Struthio camelus: one gene and its partner. The protein of the gene in region 1 binds, or shares a complex with, the protein of each later gene. Links are inferred from orthologs where the notes say so. Each region holds a gene or a part of one and is shown in the gene's direction. Other genes may lie near its edges. The genes, in order: CELF1 and CALR.

Region 1 (8,131 bases):
ACTGACACGCTCCTCCTTTCTCTCAGGTGATTGGAGAAAATGTTCACATCTACCTGATTGGGAAGGAGTCATCACGTACGCATTCGCTTGCTGTCTCTCTGCATTGTGCCGATGATGACTCCATAAGCGTGAGTGGCCAGAACAGCCTGTGTCACCAGATCACTGCAGCCTGCAAGCATGGTAGTGACCTATACGTTGTCGGTGGCTCCATTCCACGACGCATGTGGAAATGCAACAACGCAACTATAGACTGGGAATGGTGTGCCCCTCTGCCCCGTGACCGGCTCCAACATACCCTAGTCTCCGTGCCAAGCAAGGATGCTATATATTCACTGGGGGGGAAAACTCTGCAGGACACTCTCTCTAATGCTGTCATATATTACAGAGTACGAGACAATGTATGGACAGAGACCAGCCAGTTGGAAGTGGCCGTATCGGGGGCTGCAGGTGTAAACCTTAACGGTGTCATTTACCTGCTGGGAGGGGAAGAGAATGACTTGGACTTCTTCACCAAGCCCTCTCGGCTTATTCAGTGCTATGATACCAACACAGAGAAATGCCACGTGAAGCCATATGTGCTACCTTTTGCAGGGCGCATGCATGCTGCTGTACACAAGGATGTGGTGTTTATTGTAGCTGAGGGGGATTCCCTGCTATGCTATAATCCCTTACTGGATAGCTTCACCCGGCTCTGCCTGCCAGATGCCTGGAGCTCAGTACCATCCCTCTGGAAAATTGCCAGCTGCAATGGCAGCATCTACGTCTTTCGAGACCGCTATAAAAAGGGTGATGCAAATACTTTTAAACTTAACCCAGCCACCTCTGTTGTAACAGTCACAAGTGGTATCAAAGTGCTGCTCACTAACCTGCAATTTGTCCTGGCCTAAGAGGGAAAAACAGGCCCAGTGGTAGAAAGGGCAGCAAAGATGTTCTGCAGTGCACCTCAGAGGCACCAAATACTCTCAGCACCAGTTCCAATTACTACGAGCTCACAACATCCAGTAAACAGCCCGTCCTCTATGTCTGCGCAGAGGAAGTACCAGCCATCTGGCTGTGGGCCTATTCTCTTACTTAGCACTATTAAAGTTGAACTGCTACATCTTAGGTTTCAGATGGACTAAACGCTATTACTGTGATCTCTTGATAATAAGCTGCTTGTGTTTGAGGCCAAAGCTGCAGCAAGTGGCTTTTTTAGCCTGGAACTATCAAACCAATAACAAATCCTATAGCATATGGACAACCTCCTTTGTGGCCTGGACGGCTGGTTTTAACTGTCTGGGAGACTGCATTGCTGCCGTTGCCAGTCATGAAGAGTAGATGCGCTGTGCCTGTCCTCCAGGGAAGTCCCCATTTAAACATTCCTGTGTCCCTGTAGCAGCTGGTGGGACTGGCAATTACATTTACAGTGGACAGATGCCAGGGCTGAGCCCAAACCTTGAGTGGGTTGTATGCTTCAGCACTTCTCCTAGAGGAGTGGTAACAAACTGGGAACTTGCTTTCTGCTGTATTGTCACCAAGCATAAAGAGGGAGATGATTCTTAAGAGCATTGGCTTTCCTGTCTGTACAGGGAATCCGAACCTGTAATCAAAACATAGTGTTGGTGAAAGATGGAATTAAGTCCACTTCCTTCTACCCCTCTCTGACACTGTAACCCTTTGGGTAAGAAAGTGAATAAAGTCTCTGCTGAGACACAGTTCTATTTTCCTTTGCTGCAATTACAGAGCATTATGTGGATGGCAGTTTGGCTCTGCACTGATGTTGCGTGTGGGAAAGAACTATTGGGCTTTAAAAGAAATAAGAGACTAGCCATAAGGAGAGACACTTTAATGAAACAGCCCAACCTGCCCTTCAAAGTAGCGCATTGTAAAAACTTGTTTATTGATGGCCAAGAAATACAATACTTAAACCTTCATTATTTCATTAAGATCCAAGGGGTTTTTTTTTTTTAGGAGCTGAGACTCTGAGATCTTTATGGTTCTTACTGATGCTTTGCCGTTGTCCCAGCAATTATGTTCCTGTGAAATGCCTCCAGGACCTGGACCTGTTTGTGCCGAATGAGGATGTGGGGACGGATCTTGGCAATAGCCTCTATTGCTTCCTGAGGGCTCCAGTGATGCAGCTGAAAAGGGAGAAACACTGCATGTGAAAATCCGTTCTATCCCTGCACTGGTTAATGGAGCCTTCACGGAGGATACAGACAACATGAGAGTTCAGTTAGAAAACCTGCTCCTTTTGTCCCTCCCATTTTATTCATCTTCTCTCAGAGGGGCCTGAAAGTCAATGCAAATTCATGAAATGAGTCCCTCAGCTAAAGAAAAACATTTGCTGTTTAGGACTTGCATGTTCTATCTCACTCATGCTTCCATGATGTAAGTAGTTTCCTGTCCTAGTCCCACCAGACTGGAGGAAAAGGTGGGTAAAGAGGTAAAGAGTACTAGTACTACCCCCGCTCTAGCACTTTAGGGCATTACTAAGGGAAGATTTCCCAGGGTGTATTTAAGAACTCCAACAGAAGGATCCCACAGGTGGGATCGTGTTTTCAGGGCTAGCTTGCACAGTTGGATATGTAGAGGAACTCGGGAAAACCAAAGTTACTTCTCATGATCCTGAATTATATTTTGAGGTGCTCACCACTTCAGGTAAATAGGAAAAAAAAAAGGAAGTTTAGCTGCTCAGTGAATCTACCCTCATGTGAGTGACTTGTTATTCCCAACTCAATCTGTTCCTCCCTAAAAAGAATTATGAACAGCAGAATCATTCAAAACCGCATCAGAACATGCTGTATTAGTGGCTCAGTAAATTGAACAGCTTCTTGAAGTCTGAGTCATCTGCCAGAACCAGCAACAGATACTGTGAGAGTGCACGTTTCAAAGCTTCTTCTCAACGGCAATTTCTGTCCCATAACATGAAACATCTTTGCCAGTGTCTGTGCTAATAACTGAGCTGTCAGAGGCAGACTGTACAGATGAATGAAAAGACTACTTACAGTGGAGGCTCCATTGCAACTTCACCACTACCTCACTGCCAGAAGGCATTAACTGGTCAGTAACATAAAGGCAAACGAACAAAGTGTGCAAAGATAAGCTACATTGTCAAAGGAAGTTTAGACTGCTGTTCAGCCAATACAAGTTTCGTTTGTTCCTTTAGCTTGTATTAGTCATCTGCAAAACAGACAGCAACAGATGTAGGGCCTAGCTACCTACCTCTCTTCAAATGGGTCTCCAGTCCAAACTTGGTAAAACCATGGCCTATTTATGCAATTGTACACACTCGGGTTTCTTGAGCAGAATCAAATTGTAGAGGCTGGGCCATCTCTGAGCACTTTACTTGCCCAGAGGGTATAACATAAACCCGATTTAGTACAGAACCCTTCTTACTTGAATTAAATATGCTGCCACCATGGTGGCACTGCGGGAGCGTCCTGCCTTGCAGTGCACATAAACACTGTTACCACGTTCTCGGTGTTTCAGTATGAATTCGACACCCTTGTGGAGGTTTTGCAAGGTGGGAACTCCAGTTAGATCCACAGTGCTGAGACGCAGTTGCTCTACTCCCATTGCCTCCCATTCCTGAAATAAGCATGGTAGATTCAATTAGCCAAGGGTTTTTTTTTTCCCCCCAGAAAGAAAAACACGATCCCTGTGAAGACATTTGGGAAATATAGCAATGTTGTAAGCAGCCTTTGCAATGTTAATCCTTTAAATCAGAAATACAGAAAAAATACAGAAAGCTTTAGTGCTGGTTATCAGCAAGAAGAAGTTAAAGGGAACTGAAGGAAAACTGAGGAGATGTGGTTCAGCTAAAGGAAAGGAGGCGAGGTGGGTTCTCAGCCTGGAAAAAAAAGGCATTCTGGCATTTGCACAACAGCACGTGTACAATTAACGCTCCCCTTCTCCCCACCGCTGTAGCTCTAGTCTTGTTCTTGCATCCTCACGTTTCATCGTCCGGTCACACAGTTTAAGAACTTGGCTTACGTCTGAAGAAGCCAAGTCTCTCTGCTGTTAAGAGGCCGTAACAGTTGCCGCCAGGGATCCCAACGGGGAGCAGCGTGAGGGCAGGCAGCAGCGCTGAATCCTCACCTACCCCAGGGCGAGCAGGAGGGGGAGCGGCGGAGGGCGCTGGGCACCGCCGCACGCCCGGCCCGGCCCGGCCCGGCCCGGCCCGCGGGCAGCCGCCCAACGGCCGCCGCGGCGCTCACCTGCGCGGAGCAGCAGAGCAGGCGGGTCTCGTACTCCTCGTTGAGGGTGAGCACGGCGCGCACGTTCTCCTCCGCCACCAGCTGCGGGCACAAGCACCGTCAGGCGCCGGCTCGGCTCGGCCCGGCCCGGCCCGGCCCGGCCCGGCCCGGCCCGCCGCGGCCCCGCCTTACCCTGCGGCTGCGCCCCCGCAGCGGCAGCGCCCCCAGCAGCACGACGCCGTCGATGCGGTGGAACCAGGGCCGGCCGGACCCGGGCAGCCGCGCCCGCACCGCCGTGTACAGCAGCGTCGGGTAGAAGAGCAGCCGCGCCGCGCCGGCGCCCAGCGCCACCGCCAGCCCCATCGCGGGCCGCGCCGCAGGGGCGGGGGAGCGCCGCGGACGAGCGCACCGCGCGCGAGGCGCCGGGGGAAGCGCGCGCGCGAGCGCGGCCGTAGCGCGGGGCGGCCCCGCCCCGGCGGCGGGGGAGGAGCGCGGCGGCGGCGGCGGCGGCGGCCCGGCCCCTGCCCTCGGGCCCGCCGTGGTCTCTCCCGGAAGCGCCGCCATCTTGCGAAGCCGGCCTGAGGCGGCGCAGGGAGCTGAGCGGGGCGCGGGTGGATCCGCGGGGCAGGTGAGGGCGGCGGCCGCCAGGAGGAGCTCGGCCGGGCCGGGCAGGGCAGGGCAGGGCAGGGACGGCGCGGCGCGGCGCGGCGCGGAGCCGAGCGGAGCCCGCGGGGAGCGCGACCCGCCTAGCGCAGGTAACGGGTCTCCTCCGGCCGCCAGGCCGCCCCGCGCCGGGACCCTGCAGGCGGCCGCCGCGCCGCGCCTCGCTTCGCCGCGCTGCGCTGTGCCGTGCCGTGGGGGGCTCGGGCCCGCGGGAGCCCCGCGCCGCCGCCGCCCGGGGGGAGGCGGCCGCCCAGCCCGGGGCCCGGAACCGGAGGCGGCCGGTTGCCGTCTGGCATCCGGGCGCTGACAGCGCCTCGGGCGCCGCCCGGCCTCGGGCCGCAGGGCGGCGGCGGGGGGCGCTGCAGGTGCGAGCGCGGCCCGCGGCGGGTGCGGGGAGGGCAGGGGAGCGCCGGACCGGGCCGCGGGAGACGGGCAGCCCCCGGGGGCGGCGGCGGCCGGAGCAGCGCGGAGCGGCAGAGGCCGGGGTGATCGCGGGGATGCGGCTGGATGGCGCCGGGTGGCACCCCGCGGGCCTGTCTTTTGGGCAGGGGACACCAGGAAACGCACCTCTGCGGCACTTGGGGTTTGCGAAGGGGTGGAGGCAGGTCTGGGTAGGAGAAGCAAAAGGCAGAGAGCTCGACTTCACCACAGCGTAGGAATTTGCAGTCTCAGGCGTGAGGAGGAGCGGCAAACGCTACTGGGGTGAAGTAGAAAGTAAAATAGCACAATGTAAAGAAAGAAGGGAGACTAAACATAAATTTAACGATAAGTGCATAAAGAAGAAATACGAATTGATAACAGCATGAGTTTTTTTTTTTATAGGAAGATTGCTGAATAGGAAGTTCAGAGGCAGTATTAACTGTGGAACCTTCCCTCCTTTAAATTCCTGAGGAATCGCAGCCCAGACGTTTTCACCTTTAAGGCACAGACAGACATTCTCCTCTGCCAGAAGTTGTCAGGGAGCATTTTTCAAATGTTGCAGCTTTCTTGTGTTGTACTGCTTCAGTGTGGTCAGTGGGTGTGTTTCACCAGGAGCTCACCTGATGCAGAAAAATACTTGGCTGGAATTTGAATCTTGAAATGTGCTTTGCTTCTGGTCTACAAGAGCTAGGACTTTCTGAGTGTCTTGCAAAGTTCATGGTTTGTATGTGTCTCCAGGCTTGACTCTTAGAATTAGTGATTACAATAACTGCCAGATTCTCTCATGGAGTCTTTAGTTGCCTTTCCTATTGCTTTTCTATAGATGAGTTTATCAGATAGCTTTTATTGCACTGGCCTGGCATTGTGTATCCATAATAAACTCACCCTTCCCCTCCCCCTGCCAGCTCTGTTCTGAGGAGTTGAGTATAATGTCAGATATTGTTTAAAAATATTACTTATCTGTTTACCATTGTGATAGGAATCATCCAGGTGGGTACAGCTTGTATCCTGCAACTTAATGTTTCCAGTTGCATCTCTCCTGGTGAAGAGTGCTCTGGGTAGCAGCATGATTCTTATATCTGCCCGGGGACATAGGTGCACGTATATGCACCAGTACAACTATTCCCAAAGTGGGGATTTTAAAATATGATGATGTCAGTGGTTTTGTTTGTTTGTTTTTTTAAAGAAGCTTGCCATTCCCCTTCAGCCTGTGCTAACCTTCGAAATTCTTGCTGATATTTATTCTGGGAAGTTATATGCTGTTTTGTGGAATAGATTTACCTTTTCTGAATGATAACCCTGCGATGGGCATATTTTTCCCTTCCTGTCCAATTTTCTACTGTTATATTGGAGAAAATGCAGTCCCAGATCCTGCCTTCTCAGTTTTGTGCTTGAGCTTATGCATCTGGGTATGCTTTGTAAGTAAAATAATCTAGTAAATGCAGGACTGGGAACTTGTTTATCTTGGGAACTTTACATACCTAAGAAAGGAGGAACATAATGTCTGTAGAAAGAAGTTTTAATATTGTCTTAGTTGAAAAGTAGTTATTACAAAGTCATGAACGCTAAGAACACCAAGATTTGTATGTTAAGTATGTTCTTTTGAAAGTGTATGGCCTACAATAACCAAAGGACCTAACTGTCTTTCAAAATGGGGATATGGTAAAGAATGCCACGGTAGTACCTTGTACTTATTACTGTATCCACATTTTCTTGCTACTTCTTTAAAACTAGATGCAGTGGTCAGATTATCATTACATGGTGGGGGAAGGGGTCTTTAAGTATTGTTTCTTTTTGCTGAGAGTAGGAATTCTGAAGGTACGTGTTGCCTAGCGCTACTCCTCTAAAGGGAAAAGCAAGAAAAGTGACTGTATCGTAGATATGGAGTAATTGTATACCTTATAATAAATCTGTAATTTGCAAGGTCCCTTGCAAGAAGCCTTTACGTAATTTCTGTCTCACCTCATGATTATTCAATTTATCGCTGCATAGCATAAAATTTAAGAGAAATATTTTTTTAATGCTGTGTAATTTTTCTTTTGAAATTACAGGAAACAATACTATGCTCATCAGTAGAAGGTCATAAAAATTAGATGTTTATGTGGTTCTTGAAAATATTTTACAATTGCATTCAGTAAATAAAATATGACCTGTAATCTAGTCTTTAACTGAAATTAGTAAAAAAAAAAAAAAAAAAAAAAAAAAATTTGTTATGAGCAGGTTATTCCTTACCATTTCTTGCACCTTTTTCTGAAATGTGGGCATTGATCATCAGTTACTACATTTATTCTTAATTTCATCTGTCTGTCTTTTGGCTCTTCTATCGCAAATCTTTTCAGAGGGCCTACTCTAAATAAAAATTATTTTAGTGTTTTTTAGGTTGCTTGCCAAACTGCATAGGAAGTAACATAAATTCTCTTTCTTTTTGAGGTTTCCCAGTTGTTAATTTCTAAATCTGATAATCTAAGAAGAACCCATTCTTCTGGCTCTTGAACTAGAGACTGCTGTACAGTGATGATGTCCGTGAAACAGTCCGGGTTTCCAAGTGGTAATGTGAGATTTGCTAGTGAAACAGCAGCTGTAATCCAACAAACTCAGAAGATTTATACTTCTGGGTCCTTATTTTATCAGTCTTGCCATATATATCATAATGTTTTATATCAATCTAAACATTTTCAATATTGCTTCTTGTCTTTTAGTTTGCCATTCACCAAGCCTATGTGCAGAACTATGTTTGTTGCCTTGGTAACTGCCCTCAGGCAGGAAGGTATCATTTTTATCCATTGATCAATTATTTGGTGGGAAGAAAATCCAACATAAAGCAGAGTAAAATAGTTAAGGGTATATTGGAATGGGAGTTTTAAATTGAG
Region 2 (8,613 bases), on another chromosome or scaffold:
AGGGCCCCCCACCTCCCGAGGCAGAGGGCGAAGCCAGGCCCCCCACCCCCCGGGGGGGCCCCCAGCCCCCCCCCCCCCCAATCTCACCACTGTGGTAGCTGAACACCTCCATGCTGGGCTCCGTGTAGGGGTTGTAGGCGGGCTTGAAGCGCAGCTGCGTGATACCTGCGGGGGGGGGGGGGGGGGGGGCAAACGGGGGCGGTGAGGGGGTGCCAGAGGGGGCCCCCCCGCCCCAGGGCGCCCCCCCCCCCCTCACCCAGCTTGAGGAAGAACTGCTTGAGGACGCCCATGAGGTGGCCCAGGGTGAGGCCGTGGTCGGCCACGACGCCCTCGATCTGGTGGAACTCGGCCAGGTGGGTGGCGTCCAGGCTCTCGTTGCGGAAAACCCGGTCGATGGAGAAGTACTTCACCGGCGTGAACTTCTCCTGCGGCGGGGGGGCGGGGGCACCCCCACAAGTAAACACGGCAGAACGAGATGAGAGGGCCCCCCCCCACCCCCCCGCCCCGCTCCCCAAAACGGGCGCCCACCTGGCGGGCCAGGCGGTAGAGCATGCGGGCGCTGACGGCCGTGGTGTGCGTCCGCAGCAGGTTCTTCCGCGCCTCCTCCACCTTCCAGTCGTACTTGTAGCTGCCGGGGGGGGGGGCTCGGCTGAGCTGGGGAGGGGGGGGCCCGTGGTGTCCCCCCCCCCGCACCCACGGGTGCCGCCCCTCACCCCTGCGAGCCGTAGCCTCCTTGCGAGTGCACTTTCTTCACTTTAGCCACGTAGCCGGCGGGGAGCTCGGGGGCTTCGGCGGGGTCTGGGGACACACACGCATCGCGGGGGGGGGGGGGTCGTTAGCGTGGGGAGGGGGGCGTTTAGACCCCCCCCCCCCACCGCCGTGGGCACCCACCCTGCAGGAAGAAGGTGTCGTGCTGGTCGCGAGCCGGGTGCTGCTGGGGCTGGAAGAGGGCGTCGAAGTTCCAGAAGGAGCTCTCCACAAAGTTGTTGGTGGGCATCTCCACGAACCTGGGGGGGGGGGTGCGGCCGCCGCGTCAGCCCCCTCCCCACCCCCGCGCGGGGGCCCAGGCGTCCTGCCCGCCCCCGCCCCGCCACTCACCCCATCTCCAGGAAGATCTGGCGGAACTGGGAGCGCACCTTGAGCAGGGGGTGGAGGTGGCCGCAGGCGGGCGGCAGCCCCAGCGCCGCGAAGTTGTAGGCCTTGAAGGGCCGCTGCCGCCAGGAGCCCCTGCGGGGGGGGGGGGGGGTGCAGCAGCAGGGCTCGAGGCGGGGGGGCCCACGGGTGCCCCCCAGGGTGAGGGGGTCCGCGGAGCCCCCCCCCTGCGGCACTCACGTGGCGATCATCTCCGGCGTCAGCTCCGTCTCCTGGCGGGCCACGGCCGTGCTGAAGGCGCTGCCCTTGCGCAGCCAGTAGGACTTGAGGGTGCTGGGGGTGGCGGGCGGGGTGGGGGGGTCAGCGGGGGTCTATGTGTGTGTCCCCCCCCCACCCCGGCCCCCCCCCGCTCACACTTCCAGCAGCAGCTTCCTCTTCTTGAGCTCGGCGCGGTCGCGCTCGGGCAGGCTGGCGGCCTCCCCCCGCTGCACCCGCCGCAGGCTGTCCCGCACGGCGTCCTGCACCGCCGCCACCTGCGGGGACGGGACCCCGCCGGGGGGGGGGACACGCGGGACGGGGCGCCGTCATGGGGTGGGGGGGGAGCCCGGGGCAGAGCCTCTTGGTGCGAGGACGGGGGGGGGTGACAGACTGCAAGACGGGCTGAGGGATTTTGAGGACCAGGGAGATGCTGCAAGGAGGACAGGGACCCTCGGGGACGGGGACAGCCCTGGGATGGGGGACACGCGGGGACGGGGACAGCCCTGGGATGGGGGACACGTGGGGACGGGGACCCTCGGGGACGGGGACAGCCCTGGGATGGGGGACACGTGGGGACGGGGACAGCCCCGGGATGGGGGACACGTGGGGACGGGGACCCTCGGGGACGGGGACAGCCCCGGGATGGGGAACATGCGGGGACGGGGACAGCCCCGGGATGGGGGACACGTGGGGACAGGGACCCTCGGGGACGGGGACAGCCCCGGGATGGGGGACCCTCGGGGACGGGGACAGCCCCGGGATGGGGGACACGCGGGGACGGGGACCCTCGGGGACGGGGACAGCCCTGGGATGGGGGACACGTGGGGACGGGGACAGCCCCGGGATGGGGGACACGTGGGGACGGGGACCCTCGGGGACGGGGACAGCCCCGGGATGGGGGACACGTGGGGACGGGGACCCTCGGGGACGGGGACAGCCCCGGGATGGGGGACACGTGGGGACGGGGACCCTCGGGGACGGGGACAGCCCCGGGATGGGGGACACGTGGGGACGGGGACCCTCGGGGACGGGGACAGCCCCGGGATGGGGGACACGTGGGGACGGGGACCCTCGGGGACGGGGACAGCCCCGGGATGGGGGACACGTGGGGACGGGGACAGCCCCGGGATGGGGGACACGTGGGGACGGGGACCCTCGGGGACGGGGACAGCCCCGGGATGGGGAACATGCGGGGACGGGGACAGCCCCGGGATGGGGGACACGTGGGGACAGGGACCCTCGGGGACGGGGACAGCCCCGGGATGGGGGACCCTCGGGGACGGGGACCCTCGGGGACGGGGACAGCCCCGGGACGGGGGACCCGCGGGGACGGGGACAGCCCCGGGACGGCAGTGGGGGACCCTCGGGGACGAGGAGAGGGGACCCTTGGGATGGGCTCAGCCAGGGGACCCTCGGGACCAGGAACAGCCAGGGACGGGGGACCCTCAGGGACAGCCCTGGGATGGTGACAGGGGACCCCTGGGGATGGGGGGGCGCTCAGGGACGGGGACAGCTCCGGGACCGGGGACCCTTGGGGACAGGCTCAGCCTAGGGACAGCAACAGGATGGGGACAGCGACCCTCAGGGACAGGCACAGCCCTGGGACAGTGACGGGGGACCCCTGGGGACAGGGGAGCTGCAGAACAGCTCGCTCCAGGGACAGGGGACCCTCAGGGACAGGGGACCCGCAGAACAGCTAGCTCCAGGGACACAGGACCCTCGGGGACAGTGACAGGGGACCCTCGGGGACAGGGGACCCGCAGAACAGCTAGCTCCAGGGACACAGGACCCTCGGGGACAGTGACAGGGGACCCTCGGGGACAGGGGACCCGCAGAACAGCTTGCTCCAGGGACAGAGGACCCTCGGGGACAGTGACAGGGGACCCTCGGGGACAGGGGACCCACAGAACAGCTAGCTCCAGGGACAGAGGACCCTCGGGGACAGTGACAGGGGACCCTTGGGGACAGGGGACCTGCAGAACAGCTCGCTCCAGGGACAGAGGACCCTCGGGGACAGTGACAGGAGACCCTCGGGGACAGGGGACCCTCGGGGGCAGGCTCAGCCTGGGGATGAAGGACCCTCAGGGACAGGCTCAGCCTGAGCGTGGGGACACAGCACCCTCGGGGACAGGGGACCCTGGGGAAGGGCTCAGTCCAGGGATGGAGGACCCTCAGAGACGGTGACAGGGGATCCCTGGGGTCAGCAGACCCCCGGGGACGGGCTCAGCCTTGGGGACGGGGGATGGGGGCCCTCAGGGACAGGGGACCCCCGGGGACAGGCTCAGCCTTAGGGACGGGGGCCCTCGAGGACAGGGGACCCCCGGGGACAGGCTCAGCCTTGGGGACGGGGGACGGGGGCCCTCGGGGACAGGGAGACCCCCGGGGACGGGCTCAGCCTTGGGGACAGGGGACGGGGGCCCTCGGGGACAGGGAGACCCCCGGGGACGGGCTCAGCCTTGGGGACAGGGGCCCTCGGGGACAGGGAGACCCCCGGGGACGGGCTCAGCCTTGGGGACAGGGGCCCTCGGGGACAGGGAGACCCCCGGGGACGGGCTCAGCCTCGGGGACGGGGGACCCCCGGGGACAGGGGACCCCCGGGGACGGGCTCAGCCTTGGGGACGGGGGACCCCCGGGGACAGGGAGACCCCCCCCCACCACTCCCCTCTCCCCCCCCTTCCCCAAACTCACGGCGCGGAAGACGCGGGGGCCGCCGGGCGCCTCCTTGTCCAGCCGCACCCACTTGTTGGCCATGGCCTTGCTGAAGCCCACCTTGGCGCCGGGCAGCTTCTGCGGGCGGCAGCGGCCGGCTGCAGCCCGGGGTCCGCCGGGCCCCCCCCCGCGGGCCCCCCCCCCCGGTGCCGGTGCTCACCATGAGCTCGCTGTGCGGCAGCCCCTCGCCGGGCAGGCTCTCGAAGACGCGCACCTCGTGGCTGCCGTCCCGCGCCACCGCCTCGCCCTCGGCGCTCAGCTCCCAGCGGGTGGCGGCCCGCGGCTCCGCCTCGATCACCTGCGGCGGCACCGGGCGGCCCTGAGCGGCGGCGGCGGCACCGCCACCGCCGCCGCTACCGGCCGCCCTTACCGCCGCCGCACCTCGCCCAGCGCCTGGAGACTCTTGACGGCGCCCACCAGCGTCTGGTGGTCGAGGCCGAGCTCGGCGGCCGCCTCCAGGCTGCAGAGACCCCCGCCCGGCCCGGGCCCCGGCGCCTCCCGCTCCAGCCGCCGCAGCAGCAGCTCGGCCACACCGGGCGACATGGCGGCGCCCGCCGGAAGGACTCCCTCCGCGCGACCCGGAAGTGCTCCTGAGGGGGAAAGGGGGCGTGCCCGGTGTGGGCGTGCCCGCTGACCTGCTCAGCGCCGCCATCTTGAGAGTGGCGCGGGCGCCATCTTGAGTGTGGCAAGAAGCCCCGAAGCGGCCGATGCGGGGAGGGGGAAGGGGCTGCTGGCGATAGGAAGGCAGCCGAGTGCCGCGGCCGAGTGACGTGTTCGGACGTCAGCGTGACGTCATCAGGCACTAGGCCCAGCCCCCCTCCCCAGCAACCAGCCTCACCCACAGTTTGCTGCACTGAAGTCAGTTGCTGTAACGGCAGGCTTATTCCCCACCCTATGACCGTTGCCATAGCAACATGCCTGGGTTCCCCCCCCGACCTTGATCCCCCTCTCCCCCTTCCTGCTGCTATTATGGGATGGCGAGCGCCTGCTCCCACGTGCTCCGCAGCAGCCTGGCCCTTTAAGAGCGTCCGGGCCCCACGTGACCCCGAGAGCGAGCGACGCAGCGCGCGGAGGGAGGGCAGGAGCGCGGGGGGAGGGGGGGGCGTCTCCCCCCGAACGCGTGGTCGCTCCTCATTGGCCCCCGCGCTCAGCCAATGGGAAGCGGCCATCTGGGACGCCAACGTTCGGGGGAGCCGCCGAAGCCGGCGAGCGGGCGAGGGGCCAATGGGAGCGAGCCCCTCACGAGCTCGGGCCAATGGGGAGCGGGCAGGGGCGGGCCCAGCTGCCGCGGCCATATAAATGCGGGCGTCGCCGCCGCCCCCCTCCGCAGTGTCTGGGTGCCGCCGGGCCGGGCAGGGCCGAATGTCTTAAAGGGCCAGGCGCCTCCGCCGCACTGTGTGGGACCCCCGGCGACATGAGCCCCCTGGGTCTCCCCCTTCTGCTCGGCGCCCTCCTGGGGCTGGTGGCGGCGGGGCCCACCCAGTACTTCCGGGAGGAGTTCGGGGATGGAGGTGAGGGGGGAGCCCCACCGCTGGGGGTGGGGGGCCCTAGGCAGGATGTGGGGCTGCGTCTGAAGGGCCCCAGGCGTCTTCTCTGGGCTGGGGGGGGGCTGCGATGGGGGTCGGGGGGAGAGGGGATGTCTTGGGGTGTCATGAGGGCCTAGGGGCTCATGGGGGGGGCTGCCGGGTTGGGTTGGGGGTCCTGGGGCAGCTGTGGGGCCTGCGAGGTCTTCCCCTGGCCTAGGGGTACAGGAGGGATGCGGGGGGCTGTAGGCCTGGTCTGGGGGTCTTGGGGTAGGTGCAGGGCCTGAGGGGTCTGTCCTCAGCTGGGGCTGGGAGGGGTGAGGGTCTGAGGAAGGCTGTAGGGGTCTTTTGGGGGCTGAGTCTACCTTGAGGTAGGGTTGGGGGTGCTGGGGAAGGGGGGACCTGAGAGGTCTTTTGAGGGCTTGGGGTGGGAGGGATGAGGGTCACAGGATGGATATAGGGAGCTGAGAGGCCTGGTCTGGGCATGAGGGTCGTGGGAAGGACATCTGTGTCTGCCCTGAGCTAGGGCTGGGGGTCCTGGGGAAGGAGTGAGGGGCTGCAAGGTGTCTGGGAAGGGATGGAGGCCTTGTGGGGGGCCTAAGGCCTCCCTGGGGCTGGGGGTCCTGGGGAAGGAGTGAGGGGCTGCAAGGTGTCTGGGAAGGGCTGGAGGCCTTGGTGGGGGGGGGGGGGCCTAAGGCCTCCCTGGGGCTGGGGGTCCTGGGGAAGGAGTGAGGGGCTGCAAGGTGTCTGGGAAGGGCTGGAGGCCTTGGTGGGGGGGGGGGGCCTAAGGCCTCCCTGGGGCTGGGGGTCCTGGGGAAGGAGTGAGGGGCTGCAAGGTGTCTGGGAAGGGCTGGAGGCCTTGGTGGGGGGCCTAAGGCCTCCCTGGGGCTGGGGGTCCTGGGGAAGGAGTGAGGGGCTGCAAGGTGTCTGGGAAGGGCTGGAGGCCTTGGTGGGGGGCCTAAGGCCTCCCTGGGGCTGGGGGTCCTGGGGAAGGAGTGAGGGGCTGCAAGGTGTCTGGGAAGGGCTGGAGGCCTTGGTGGGGGGCCTAAGGCCTCCCTGGGGCTGGGGGTCCTGGGGAAGGAGTGAGGGGCTGCAAGGTGTCTGGGAAGGGCTGGAGGCCTTGGTGGGGGGCCTAAGGCCTCCCTGGGGCTGGGGGTCCTGGGGAAGGAGTGAGGGGCTGCAAGGTGTCTGGGAAGGGCTGGAGGCCTTGGTGGGGGGCCTAAGGCCTCCCTGGGGCTGGGGGTCCTGGGGAAGGAGTGAGGGGCTGCAAGGTGTCTGGGAAGGGCTGGAGGCCTTGGTGGGGGGCCTAAGGCCTCCCTGGGGCTGGGGGTCCTGGGGAAGGAGTGAGGGGCTGCAAGGTGTCTGGGAAGGGCTGGAGGCCTTGATGGGGGGGGCCTAAGGCCTCCCTGGGGCTGGGGGTCCTGGGGAAGGAGTGAGGGGCTGCAAGGTGTCTGGGAAGGGATGGAGGCCTTGGTGGGGGGGGCCTAAGGCCTCCCTGGGGCTGGGGGTCCTGGGGAAGGAGTGAGGGGCTGCAAGGTGTCTGGGAAGGGCTGGAGGCCTTGATGGGGGGCCTAAGGCCTCCCTGGGGCTGGGGGTCCTGGGGAAGGAGTGAGGGGCTGCAAGGTGTCTGGGAAGGGCTGGAGGCCTTGGTGGGGGGGGCATAAGGCTCCCTGGGCCTGGGGGTCCTGGGGAAGGAGTGAGGGGCTGCAAGGTGTCTGGGAAGGGCTGGAGGCCTTGGTGGGGGGGGGCATAAGGCTCCCTGGGCCTGGGGGTCCTGGGGAAGACACCGGAGCCTGAGAGGCCTCTGGGAAGGGGTAAGGCTTTGGGGGGGCTGCGGGGGCTGTGAGGCCTCCCCTAGAGCTGGGGGGAACAAAAGGCCTTTGGATGGGGCTGTTGAGGGCAGAGCTGTCCCCTTCTCCCCCCACCCCGGAGCCGGAGGGGGGGGACAGCAGGGCTTTCGGTGGGATGTTCCCCCACAGGGTGGGGGGGAGGCAGGACAGGAGCTGGCTCCCGTTGTGGTTTATCGGCCCCGAGTCCTGCTGCGGCGGCGGCGGCGCTGCGACAGCCGAGCCCACCCCACCGCGGAGACCTTCCCCGGCAGCTCCGGCCTCCCGCCAGGGCGCCGGGGAGGGGGACGCAGGGGGCCGTCACGGGTGCTGCCGTGCCTCACGGGCGCAGGTGGGCGGCCTGTATCGAAGGGCTCCTCCGGAGTGTGACGGATCCCGGCCGGGCCGTGCAGGTGGCAGGAAGCCGGCCTGTTCCCCGTTCAGCTCTAGGGGCGCGTTCAATCCCCGGCCGCTGCGGGCAGAGCGCCGGGCCGGAGGGGACGCGGGGACGAGCCCGGCGCCGAGGCCCGTTCCCCCCGCCCCGGTCTCCCCGAGCGGGGTTGGAGCCGTCCTGCTTCCCTCTTCCCTCCGCGAACGCTGCCTAGCCCTGAAGCCGCCGCGTTTCGGCTGCCCGGCTCCACCGCGGAGGCGGCTGCCTCCACAGCGACCCTTCCCTGGGTGGGGGGGAGCCCTCGGTGCCGAGGGAGACCCCCCCCGGCAGCGGCCAGCGCTCGGTCGGGTTTCGGCTCTTACGGGCTGTTCCCGCCTTTAGGGGGAAACCCGGGGTCACGCGGGGCCGCGCCGAGCGCGGGCCGGCGCCTCCCTGACCCTCTGCCCTCTCCGCAGATGCCTGGAGCAGCCGGTGGGTGGAATCCAAGCACAAGTCGGACTACGGCAAGTTCATCCTCACGGCCGGCAAGTTCTACGGCGACGCCGAGAAGGATAAAGGTGAGGTGCCGGCTGCTGGCCGGCCTCCCCGGAGATAAGGACCTTTCCCTCCGCCTGTCGCTCAAGGGTAGTTAATGCTTAACGAGCTTGGTGGGTCCGTGGGAGCGCGGGGGTGCTGACGGCGCTCCGGGCCCCGCGTAGGGGGGTTGTGTTGTGCCGCGGGCTGGATGGAGCGGGGCGGCTTCAGGAGGGGAGCCGGCGAGGGCATCGGGGGAGTTTCGGGGGGGGCGAGGGAGGGTTGAGCAGCCCTAACGGCC

The links.
Region 2: CELF1 (region 1) and CALR share a complex: the UniProt entries of both Homo sapiens proteins name them as parts of the EIF2 complex. The link is inferred for Struthio camelus from reciprocal best matches to the Homo sapiens genes CELF1 and CALR.

What each region holds. Positions count from the first base shown.
Region 1 is NC_090946.1:39,023,963-39,032,093, forward strand, and holds the start of CELF1 (CUGBP Elav-like family member 1), read left to right. Parts: upstream 1-4,845; 5' UTR 4,846-4,933; intron 4,934-5,663; 5' UTR 5,664-5,985; intron 5,986-7,691; 5' UTR 7,692-7,775; coding exon 7,776-7,814; intron 7,815-7,960; coding exon 7,961-8,028; intron 8,029-8,131. Other genes in the region: KBTBD4 (kelch repeat and BTB domain-containing protein 4), read left to right, coding at 27-887; PTPMT1 (phosphatidylglycerophosphatase and protein-tyrosine phosphatase 1), read right to left, coding at 1,980-2,120, 3,379-3,570, 4,200-4,280, 4,371-4,541. UniProt on the Homo sapiens protein: RNA-binding protein implicated in the regulation of several post-transcriptional events. Involved in pre-mRNA alternative splicing, mRNA translation and stability.
Region 2 is NC_090972.1:4,289,526-4,298,138, forward strand, and holds the start of CALR (calreticulin), read left to right. Parts: upstream 1-5,373; 5' UTR 5,374-5,473; coding exon 5,474-5,570; intron 5,571-8,254; coding exon 8,255-8,356; intron 8,357-8,613. Other genes in the region: FARSA (phenylalanine--tRNA ligase alpha subunit), read right to left, coding at 88-165, 257-425, 529-628, 714-798, 892-1,007, 1,099-1,227, 1,333-1,425, 1,507-1,625 and 3 more. UniProt on the Homo sapiens protein: Calcium-binding chaperone that promotes folding, oligomeric assembly and quality control in the endoplasmic reticulum (ER) via the calreticulin/calnexin cycle.